Linked DNA regions of Caenorhabditis elegans. The protein of the gene in region 1 purifies or fractionates together with the protein of each later gene. This does not show direct contact. Each region holds a gene or a part of one and is shown on either strand. Other genes may lie near its edges. The genes, in order: C46E10.8 and Y32H12A.7.

Region 1 (4,840 bases):
TGGATTAGTTCTTGCAGACTTCCATTTGACCAACTGGGTATACGAGAATTATGCGTGTATTTTGGGTATGCCTCAGTGCTAGGTTCAAGCCGAAAACTATCTTTATTTTTTTCAGATGAATTCCTGTACAAAGGCGACAAGTTGTACGCGAGCAAGGATGATCGTGAGACACTGTTGTCTGGATTTGTAAGCTGAAACTTTTTTTCATGGAAATCGTCATAACTTGCAGATTACCAACTGCTCCTCACCAGTGGACAAGTCTACGTTCTGCTATGCCGGTGTTCCTGAAGTAACCGGAAATATTCACTACCACGAGACGAACAAATCCGTTATAGCCGGGGTGATTAGTAGAAGCATTGAGAATCGCCCCGAATCTAGTGAGAAATTGGTTTAATCCGTCTACAAGAAAGCATCTTTCAAATTTCAGATATGGAGGTGGTGGAGGTCACGTATTTGCACAAGTACATCAAAATTCTGTGTGAAATCGCAGGAATTTGTGAAAAGTGAGCAGTTGCTGGTGAACTTTTCAAATTTAAAATCCATATTTTCAGACAACCAACACCGGTGAAAGAATACGCGGCCGACGAAACAACTACCACAACTCCTGAGCCAACAACGACAGTAGCAGAAACCACCCCAGCTCCAATACCACCACAAAAGCCGACACCTGCTGCTCTCGGCCAGAAAGAGGATTTGACAGGATGTGGGACGGATCGTTTGTGCTTTGATGAGGAGATGAATGCATCGGCTAGTTTCAAGAAGGTTGTGCTCATTTTTGTACTTTTGATGCTTTTCCGGTAGATTCGATTTATTCGATTTTAATTCAAACTTCTGGACACGAATGAAAATGATTATTTTTTTACATGCTTAATTATAGCAATATAAAACAGGGAGCAAGACAAAAACTAATTGTGACTGGATTGGACAAGATGCATGTTGAAGGCGTACTCATTGTAGCATTGTGCTCCACAAAGTGAGCACTGAAATGGGTTGCCGATCGTGTGGAAACTGGTGTGGAGCTGGCCCAGCACAGCGTCTTTGAACTCAATTTCACAATGCTCGCATTCCTGAAAACAAGTGTTTAGAGCAAAATTTCAGGTCTAGGCCTACGTGGCTAGGTACCTAGGTACCCAGATACACAGGTGCCTACGTGCCTAGATGCCTAGGCAGCCAGATGCATAGGTGTATACGTGCCTATGTGGCAAAAGTACACCTTCTCAAAGATAGGAAGGTGTTTTTCTGCCCTCATGAAATGCGAGCTTTGACAACTTACAAATTTTGGCTGCTGAGGTTTCTGTGCTCCATGGAACATCGAGGTAGATTCGCCAAGTAACTGATCTGCATTGAAAGTTGGGGATCCCATTGAGCTCATCGATTCGCCCCGTTCACAGAGCTTGCTGTTTGTTGGCAGAGCGCGTGGGGTTTGAAACTTCCAAAAAATAGTCAGCCTAAGTTGAACGCCAAAACTTCAAATAACTCACAGAGGTTTGACCATCTGGGGTGACTTCTCCGAGCTCTGATAATCCAGAGCTTTTCTGCAAATCTGCCTGCTCGCCGAGCTTTTGGCTTGACGCGCCGAATCCATCATTGCTTTTTGACGACAAGGATGCTTCTATCGCTCTCAACATCTCTCCAGATGATTGTGCTGCGAAGCTGCTTGATCACTTTGAATGGAGCTGAGCAATTGAGATGGCGGAGAAATCTGAAAATCCAAGCTTTTCCATACCACAATAATGAATTCTTACCATTGGCGCGAAGCACGAAAAAGAGGCGAGAACACGTGTGTCCCCGAGCTGTGGAGATCCAGAAGAAATAGCGCTGAGCAACGGAGCTGGTGGAACGATCTAAAACCCAAATAGTTTGCTCAACACAATTCAAAGCTCTTACCATAGTTGCAAAGCCTGAAGAAGAAGGAGCAGGTGAGCCCAGACTGGGAATTGCATGAGCTCCAGAATCAGCAGTTTCCAGATGCTTTTTCATATGGCGGTTCAAGTATATTTTACTTGAGTAATGGGCTCCGCAGATTTCGCATGTATGCTTCTGGAAAAAGGTAGAGTTTCAACACAAAGGGATTTTCTGTTCAGTAAAAAAAACTAAACTCACACTTTTGTATCCAGCGACTTCCCGAGCATATTTGTAGCTCTTCAGGTGGGACTTCAGAGATTTCTGAAATTGTGATAATTGGAACTATAATTGGAGCAAAGTTTTCTCTTACCCTGCTCGCGTAAATTCTGCTACACGCTTTGCATTGGTAGACAAACTTGCCCAACTCCTGAATATTTTAATTGAATCTTTTGAAAACAAACGTGGAAAAAGTTACCTGAGAATGAACTGGGTCAAGCAACTGAGCAAAATTGGGAGCACCTGGGGTTACAGGCAGGTCCATTGATAGAAGAAAAAAGTATTTAAATGGTTATGAATGCCCCTTTACGGAATGGAGTGTTGGAGGCAAATATCGATTGAGCGCGCGGTATTGGCGGAGGGCAAATGGGAGGTCAGAAAGAGAGACGCAGAGAAAGAAAGAAAATATGTGTAGTTTCTAATAAGCTTCAAAAAAAGACTATTCGGCAGTTTTTGGGCGCCCGAAAAACCTTTTTTCATATTATATATCAATTTTAAGTTTCACTCGAGAACTAAAACTAGATTTATTGAATGGCGTTACGAAAAATAACTATTTAACAGTACGAAATTATCAATTAAAGTCCACTAAAATTATGATTGGCAGTAACAATATGAATTGTAAACGCCAGATTATCTTCACACTCAGCTCCACAAAATGAGCATTTGAATGGGCTTCCTGGAGCGTGAAGGGCATTGTGCAACAGGCTCATTGGGGCATCGTCGAATTGGATCTTGCAGTGTTGGCATTCCTGAGCTGGATTCTGAAGTTGAGCTGGATTCTGAAGTTGATACGGTCATAGGTGACCATCTGGTTGAGCAAGTTGACGCTGGAGCCGAAGAGGTCAGATCCTGAGAAGATGTATTAGTTTTGAAGCATTATATAGTTTTTTCTCACCGTAGAATGATAATAATAGTGATGAATCAGGAAATACTTGGCAGTTCCAAAGTGCTTGCGACATTTCCTACACGGAGCCAAATTGTGTGGTGAAACGAGGTGGTGGTGCTCGAGATGACGTTGAATTTCCAAATGAGACCGAAATTGCGTAAAACAGTTCAGCATGGGGCAGTCGAAATGAGATCGTTCTTTGAGATGTGTGTACAGATGCTCTTGTAGCTGAAAATTCTGAAAAGTATATAAAAATGAAATTAGTTAGCATACCCTATTCTCTCTGTGAAGCGTTTGTTGACAAATGTTGCACTTCTTGGATTTTGTTCCAGAATGAATTTTTCGATGGCGGTTTAAGTTTGGCTTGTTGGCGAATTGTTTCTCACAGATTTCACATTTGAATTGGCGATTAACCTGGAAAAAGTTTGTTGTAGAGGGAGAAGCTCTTTACATGAAGTTAAACTTACTGGCCTTACCCCATTAGAACCGGTGAGAGTTTGGTGCCTCGTCGAGCTCAATGAGTTGGCTGGCTCACAAACATTACTGCTTGTCGGAAGATCACTTGCGTACTTGAGCTTTCTCTCACTGAGCCTTGAACTCACTGAGCCTTGACCATCAAGGGTGGCACCGCTGAGCTGTGGTGATCCATAGTTTTTCTGAGAATCCGCTTGCTTTTCGAACTCCTGGTTTGGCATTCCATCATTGATCTTCAACGGCAAAGAAGCTTCCAAGGAATTCCACAACTTTCCTTCACAGTTTTCAAAAAAAGCTTCTGGCGTTGTCGCAACACCGGGAAAAGAGCTGAGCAACTGAGCTGGAGTAGATACCTGAAAACCAAAGATTTTGCTCAATATACAATTTAAACTCTTACCATAGTTGTGAGGCTAAAAGACGAGGGAAGAGAATCAATGTTGATATAGGTCAATGGTTTTTCTTCGAAGAGCCTGCTTCTCGTTGGGAAACCACTGGTGCCCGAACTTTGACTATCAACGGAAAGCTGTGGCCATCCATTGGCTGAAGCTAAAGCTGAAGACTCTATGAACAAGCTTTCCTGCAAATCCGTTTCCTTGCTGAGCTCCTGACTTGGCCCACCATCTATTCTTTCTGCTGACAAAGAAGCTCCCATCGCATTCAATAACTCCCCTAAAGTGTTCTGCGCGGCGTCTGCTGACGTTGTCGCTGATTCTACCTTCAGTCCACAATGTTTCTCTTTGAAATGAGCAAGGAGTCCTTGAACACTGGCGAACGGAGCTTTACACTTCTTGCACCTGGCCTATGTGGCGACAGAAAAGATGTTCGAGAAGTATCTTTTGCGAACTGAACTTCATCTCGCACTGACCAATAGGACACGTGAGATAGTTGGTCTGCATAGGAGCTGGAGAAGCGGCAGTTTCAGTTTCCAGATGACTTTTCATATGACTGACCAGGCTTCTTTGGTAATTGTATTTCGATCCGCAGAATTCGCAGGTGTACCTCTGAAATAGATAAGTTAGATAGAGTTAGATAGAGATAGATAGATTATGATGCCAAACGCTATCTATTAAGCACTAACGTCTTCGTAAGAAGACAGCCCAAGTCCACATTTGGTGTTCCGTATGTGATTGCTCAGAGATTTCTGAGAATGTAATTACTTGAACTGTTGCACCTTGCGCAATTCCTGAAAAAAAATGGATCCTTTATTAATTAATTTGTGAAAATTTTACAGTACCTGAGAATAAACTGGCACAAGAGCTTGAGCTTCAGGCAGGTCCATTGATAAGAGAGTAGAGGTGAAGGAATAAATGAACCCGCGCAGAGTGTTTTGGTGGGGCGCAATTATCGATTTGGCGCGCG
Region 2 (5,626 bases), on another chromosome or scaffold:
AGAGTCTGACCACCAAATCATCGGTTTTCGGACCATTTCATCACAAAGCTTGTCGTGAATCACCTTGGCCCACGGAGCTGCGAGCCCGTCTTCTTTTCCTAGAACTATTACGACGGCTTCTGATTCGGCAAGTTCCTCGGCAAGTCGTTCTTCTTCTTTTTTCTGAAAGAAATTGGAAGTCGTGGCGAGACCAGATTTTTGTTGATTTTGTTTTCCACTATTACCAACCTTTGAATAACGTTCATAATATGCATGGCACTTGCGATAGAGCAGATAGACAAATCCCGGCATCAGAACTCCCAAAGCGGCAGTTATGTATAGCAGAATCTCGTCCTTTCCTTCCAAATAATCCTCGAGCCACGACTGCGGCTCCTTGCCACGTGGACCTCCTTCAGGTCGCAGTGGTGGAACTTGGTAGGCACACATTTGGATATTTTACTGAAATTCGAGCAATTCTCAAATAAGATAATAATAAAAAGATTCAAAACGTAGACACCGATTTAGTTTTGAGAGAAGTGTCTGCGCCTTTAATATAGCCATTTTCTTCATTAAAAACGTACCAAAATTACACCACAACACATCATGCAAGGAGCACCACACAGCAGGCATCTAAGTAAAAAAAATTGGAAAAAAAATCAAACTGGCTAAGAAAAAGAAGTAATAGAACTGGACAGTGAGACCAGCATTCCGAAAAAAAATTTAAAAAGTTGAAAAGCAGAAAATATTGTTGAACATTTTTATTAGCAACAGTTGAAAAATGCGTAAAACCCAATGAAACAAAAAGAAGATCTCTAAATACTAAAACTATAAAATCTTAAAGCTACTCTGAAACTGTACAATTGAAAAGGACGATTTTCGCAAAAAAGTCCACTATACGAGAACATTTAATAAAAACGGTCTAGCGCATTGGAAGAGATCAAGATCCGGATCCAGAGATCGGCCGAATCCTTCGAGAACCATTACAGACAGGATTACTGTAGTGAAAGCCGAGTCGAGCTCCACTTTGTGCTCCGCCACAATTGTGAACATTTCTGAGAGAAGTGCCGAGATATTGAGCTGAAAAAGTTTATATTGATGAGGGAACTTTATTTGAAAAATTTCAATTTCAATATATTTCGAAACTAAAAAACCTATAATTTCTTGAGTTACTGATTTTTGAAACAAAATCGGAAATACATAGTTTTGATTTAAATTTAGTTTTCTAAAATTTCAAACTGTTCGAATTTGTTAGTTTTCAATTTTTTTTTGTATTTTTAAAACAAAAAACTAAACTAAAACTCTTTCCGATGTCAATTTTTGAAATTGAATTTTTCTTTGACAATTTTCAGAAATAATTCCAAAATTTTATACATTTTTTCAAGATTTTACGATTTTTTTAAATTAAAATTCCAATTTATAAATTAAAATTTGAAACATTTTCGTTTAAAACGCACAGTTCTCAAGCTCTTTTCGCTTCTGGCCTTCAACACAAGCTTTTCCACTTGTCGGCAAAACCTTTCCGGATCATTGCACTGTTGGAAGGGGGATTGATGAAGAAGAAGCTTCCCGACATCGTATCCCCGTTTCTCCACAACACTTCTGAAAAGCGATTTCAAATTGTGCAAATTTTTCGGTGTTTCGGAAATGGCAATTCCAGTGTCTAGAAGGACCAGAGTAGGCTCATCTTCAAGATCCGGAGAGTCGGTGAAACGAATTCTTGGAGCTGAACGCAAGTTTACCAGTGAACGAAACCATTCCAGCTGCAAAAATAATTATTATGATCCATCAGATTTTTTTTTGTTTTTATCTTGCACTTGTCAAAAAAATCGAAATATCTACAGTAACCCGTACCCCTCTTTTAAGTGCACTGTCTGCTTTCGGCGCCTTGTGTACTCCTCTGAGATTATCTTCATTATCATTGAATCGAATCAGAATGTTTCCCGGATGCAGGTCACCATGCACAAAATTGTCGACGAAAATCATTTTGAGAAGGGCTCGGGCTCCGAGCAAAGCAATTCTCCGTCGAACTGCTTGTGATTGTCGGGCGGTTAGCTGAAACTGATTGAATATTGGAGGGAATCCCGAAAATCTATTTTTTCTATATTTTTTAAACGTTCGATTTTATTTTTAGTAACCATTTCGAAATCAATAATTTTTAAAAACAAATAACGAAAAAATGTTTCGTTTTCAAAAATCTAAAAAAATACCTTTTTTTTTTGAAAATCTATCTTCGGATTTTTGAAAAATAATTTTTTTATTGGCAAAATTCTAATTAATTTTTTATTTTTAAATTTACGCAATAAAAATTTGAAAAAAAAAAGTTTTTTTGCAAAATGAATTTTTTAGAGTGGAAGTTTATTTTGGAAAATTATTTCATATTTTTTCTACCAAATCTCCAATTTCTAACCTCTGGCTGTCCTTCCTCTGCAACCAATCGATTAATATAAATTCCTTCTTCAAATGTTTCCACAATTACATTTTTAGTATATCCAAGCACAATTGGAAACTTAATTCCAGTTTCTTTTGAACTAAAATTGTCTGAAAACTTCTTCAAAGCCTTCGCCTCATTTCTCAAGTCAACTTGTCGCCGAAGTACCATTTCAAATTGTTCAAGTGCTCCAGTTGGATCCAAATACCAAAGAGCCGGTACAATATGTTGCATTAACCATGCTCCACTTCTCAGAATTGAAAGATCCAATTCAATTTGCTTATCAACATCTTTATCAGCCACTTTAATAGCAATCCGTTGTGTTGTACGTCCTTTAAGCTCTGGGTATTCCTTTCCAGTAGCCTTCTCAAGTTCAGAGATATCTACAGTACCTCGATATACTTGTGCAATACATCCTGAGCCAATTGAAAATGGTTCAATCTCGAGAAATACTTGTTTTCCATGCAATTTCATAAATCCTTTTCCAAATACTTCATTCATTACTTTTTTCTTATCACGGAAGAATCTCTTGTTTTTAGTTTGAATATGAAGCACGGAGAGCTGAAATTGAAAATACAAATTGAAGATGATTAGAAAATCAAAATCTCACCCGATCACAAAACTTTTTTGTGAAGATGTCCCTTCGTGTACTTGCCCATTGTCCTAATTTAATAAAAGTTGGTCCAGAATGTTGAAGAGACCACAGAAGATATCTCCACCAAAGATTCTCGAATGCTTCTATTTTTGTCAGAGGATAAGTGAGAAGAATTGGAGAAAATCGAAGGAATAAGCTAATGCATCTGTAATTATTTTATTTTCTTTTTTTCCAGGAAATCATATTTTAGCATTTTTATTTTCAGATCAGAGATATAAAAAGTTGCCTTTTGGAATATTTGTACAATTAAAAATTGAAATTTATTTTTTTTCATTGTAACTCCAAATTAAAAAAAAATTGCAAGACAATTTTTTTCAGAAAATTGCTCACCTGAACATTTTCCTTATTGCTTTATAAGTGACAACGATCAATGTAATCGGTAGAGTTATTATGCCCATCATCGTTGATTTTTCCACTACGACTTTCTAAAAATCTTGATATTTTATGGGATTTTTTTCTTCGAAAAATTAAAAACTTATGCAAAAAAATTGGATGTGAAGAATAAAATTCTAGAGTTTTTGCGTAATTGAAAGTTTTAAAATCATTTATAAAATTTTGAAAGTTTGAATATTTAACTTTAAAATTCGATCTTACTTTCTGTGGAACAAGAAGCCATGGATCTTGATGCTCTGCTTCACATTTTAATGTCCGTAACCTTGTTAAAGACACAGCTCCACCCATTCCGAGCACAATTCCTAATTTAAAATTTCTAGAGCTCACGGCTCTGCTGTGAGCCCAGCACCTGTACAAAATTAACCTCGTCGACCCGAATATCATGTCTCTGGAAATATGAAAATATTGGAAATTCTGAAAAAAGTTTACAGAAGAAGATAAAATTCAGGATTCTAGAACCAGTTTTCAAATTAAAAGGATGACCCGAAAAAAATATCATAAAACAATCTTATATCACATAAAATCCAATCAGAACAAACAAATAATTTAACATAATTTTTGAGAAAAAAAAAATAGAAAGGCAATTTGATGGGCGCAAATCGATTCAAATATATATATACAAAATTATCACATATTGAAAATATACCTTATAATCACTAGCGATTGAAAGAATTTCAAAATTTTGAAAAAAATAATGGGAGAACAATTGAGGGGAATACGAAATACATTGGAAAAATGGCTATAAAAATGAGATAAAGATAACAAAAAATTTAACAAAAAATATATATATAAAACAAGAAGAAAACTGTATATCCTTCCTAGAACCACTTGCGTCCGTTAGTTTGCGCATCTTTTGGATCGTATTTTTTCGGCGGTTTGTACATTTTCTGAAAAAAAAAGATTTATTTTTAAAAAATTTCTTTGAATTTTATCTTGGGTCTGAAAATGTAGAACTGCTAGAAAACATTAAAGCTCATTTGTTATAGATATTTCAAACATTTAGAACTTTCAGAAACTATTTTTCCATACCTTTCCCTTCAAAATACGATTAATATGCTTCGGCTTCATTCTATTTGCTGGTGGAATCTTTCGTATTCTCGTCTGCATTTTCAAATCACCCCATGACCAGTGTGCTGTATCAGAATTTTCAACAATTAATTCATTGATATGTTTCAATAAATCTTTCTTTTTTGCCGGAAGCTTCGCCTCAATCTTAAATTTGTCAAGATCCGCAATTCCTTCCAACATCTCGTTGATTTTTCGTCGAACCTTCCACTTTTTTGCTCCAATTGCTCGTTTTTCCAGAGCAAATGTTTCTTCTGGATTTACAGGTTTCGATCGGAGTTTTAAAAGCATCAGCTCTCTTTGTGCCTTGTTCATTGCTCGGCGAGCTCGTTTTCCTTTTTTCGAGCTGTTCAAAGACTCAGTTGATCCACCAAGAGACGAAGATGAATCCGATCGAACTTCTGAACCAGAATCCGAATCAGAACCCGAATTATGCATATTCAGGAATCTAGACATTGATTTTGGATCTTTCGGTGTCTGTCGTCTAATTTCTTCAAATGTCTCTTTTCGTTCCTTCCATTCTTTTGGATGAACTTCCGAATCAACTAATTCCGCAAATGTTATCAATTTGGAATCATACAGGAACATGTTGGTTTCTAGCGGCTGAAAATTGTTGAAAATAGTACTTTTTAAATTCCAAATTAAAATAAAAGATCTGCATTTTTTTGATCGTGGAACGAAATTCAGATTTTTGTTTTTAAAAAAGTGATCTAAAAAAAATTTTGGGAAGACTTTTCTTTTGAACTTCTTGCCACTAACCATGAAATAAGTTCCCCGAACTTTAGTGATCATCATATCAAGCAATGGACGCTGCTTTGCATGTAAAGTAAGCAAATGTTGGAATCTTTTCCGTCCTCTCTCAAAATCAGCCAAATGTGGTGCAAAACGGAAAATTGCCTTCTGAGCCATTTTATACATTAATACAGCCATAAATCTGCGTCTATGGAAATCTGATCCCTCGTGCATACTTCTGAGCCATTCAATTTCTTCTTCACAATCCTCCATTTCAAGATATTTCGCGTTTGGAGCCGCCGGTTGAACTATATCTGTATTTCTGAGTACTGGAGACTTGTCATCATCGTTCTCCTCGTCTTCTTCAGTCAGAG

What was found.
Region 2: the proteins of C46E10.8 (region 1) and Y32H12A.7 fractionate together in Caenorhabditis elegans (co-fractionation; one large-scale study listed by BioGRID). This does not show direct contact.

What each region holds. Positions count from the first base shown.
Region 1 is NC_003280.10:3,725,049-3,729,888, forward strand, and holds C46E10.8 (C2H2-type domain-containing protein), read right to left. Parts: upstream 3,017-4,840; 5' UTR 2,971-3,016; coding exon of another isoform or gene 2,642-2,970; 5' UTR 2,387-2,641; coding exon 2,321-2,386; intron 2,273-2,320; coding exon 2,216-2,272; intron 2,167-2,215; coding exon 2,104-2,166; intron 2,041-2,103; coding exon 1,888-2,040; intron 1,845-1,887; coding exon 1,746-1,844; intron 1,703-1,745; coding exon 1,622-1,702; 3' UTR 1,274-1,621; intron 1,068-1,273; 3' UTR 802-1,067; downstream 1-801. Other genes in the region: C46E10.1 (uncharacterized protein), read left to right, coding at 1-65, 116-186, 230-377, 428-503, 552-801.
Region 2 is NC_003281.10:5,381,565-5,387,190, forward strand, and holds Y32H12A.7 (ABC1 atypical kinase-like domain-containing protein), read right to left. Parts: upstream 3,843-5,626; 5' UTR 3,840-3,842; coding exon 3,657-3,839; intron 3,488-3,656; coding exon 3,393-3,487; intron 3,208-3,392; coding exon 3,018-3,207; intron 2,969-3,017; coding exon 2,387-2,968; intron 2,038-2,386; coding exon 1,831-2,037; intron 1,740-1,830; coding exon 1,434-1,739; intron 1,057-1,433; coding exon 871-1,056; 3' UTR 723-870; downstream 1-722. Other genes in the region: Y32H12A.6 (Flavodoxin-like domain-containing protein), read right to left, coding at 1-162, 229-426; Y32H12A.8 (WDR59/RTC1-like RING zinc finger domain-containing protein), read right to left, coding at 4,274-4,342, 4,485-5,123, 5,280-5,626.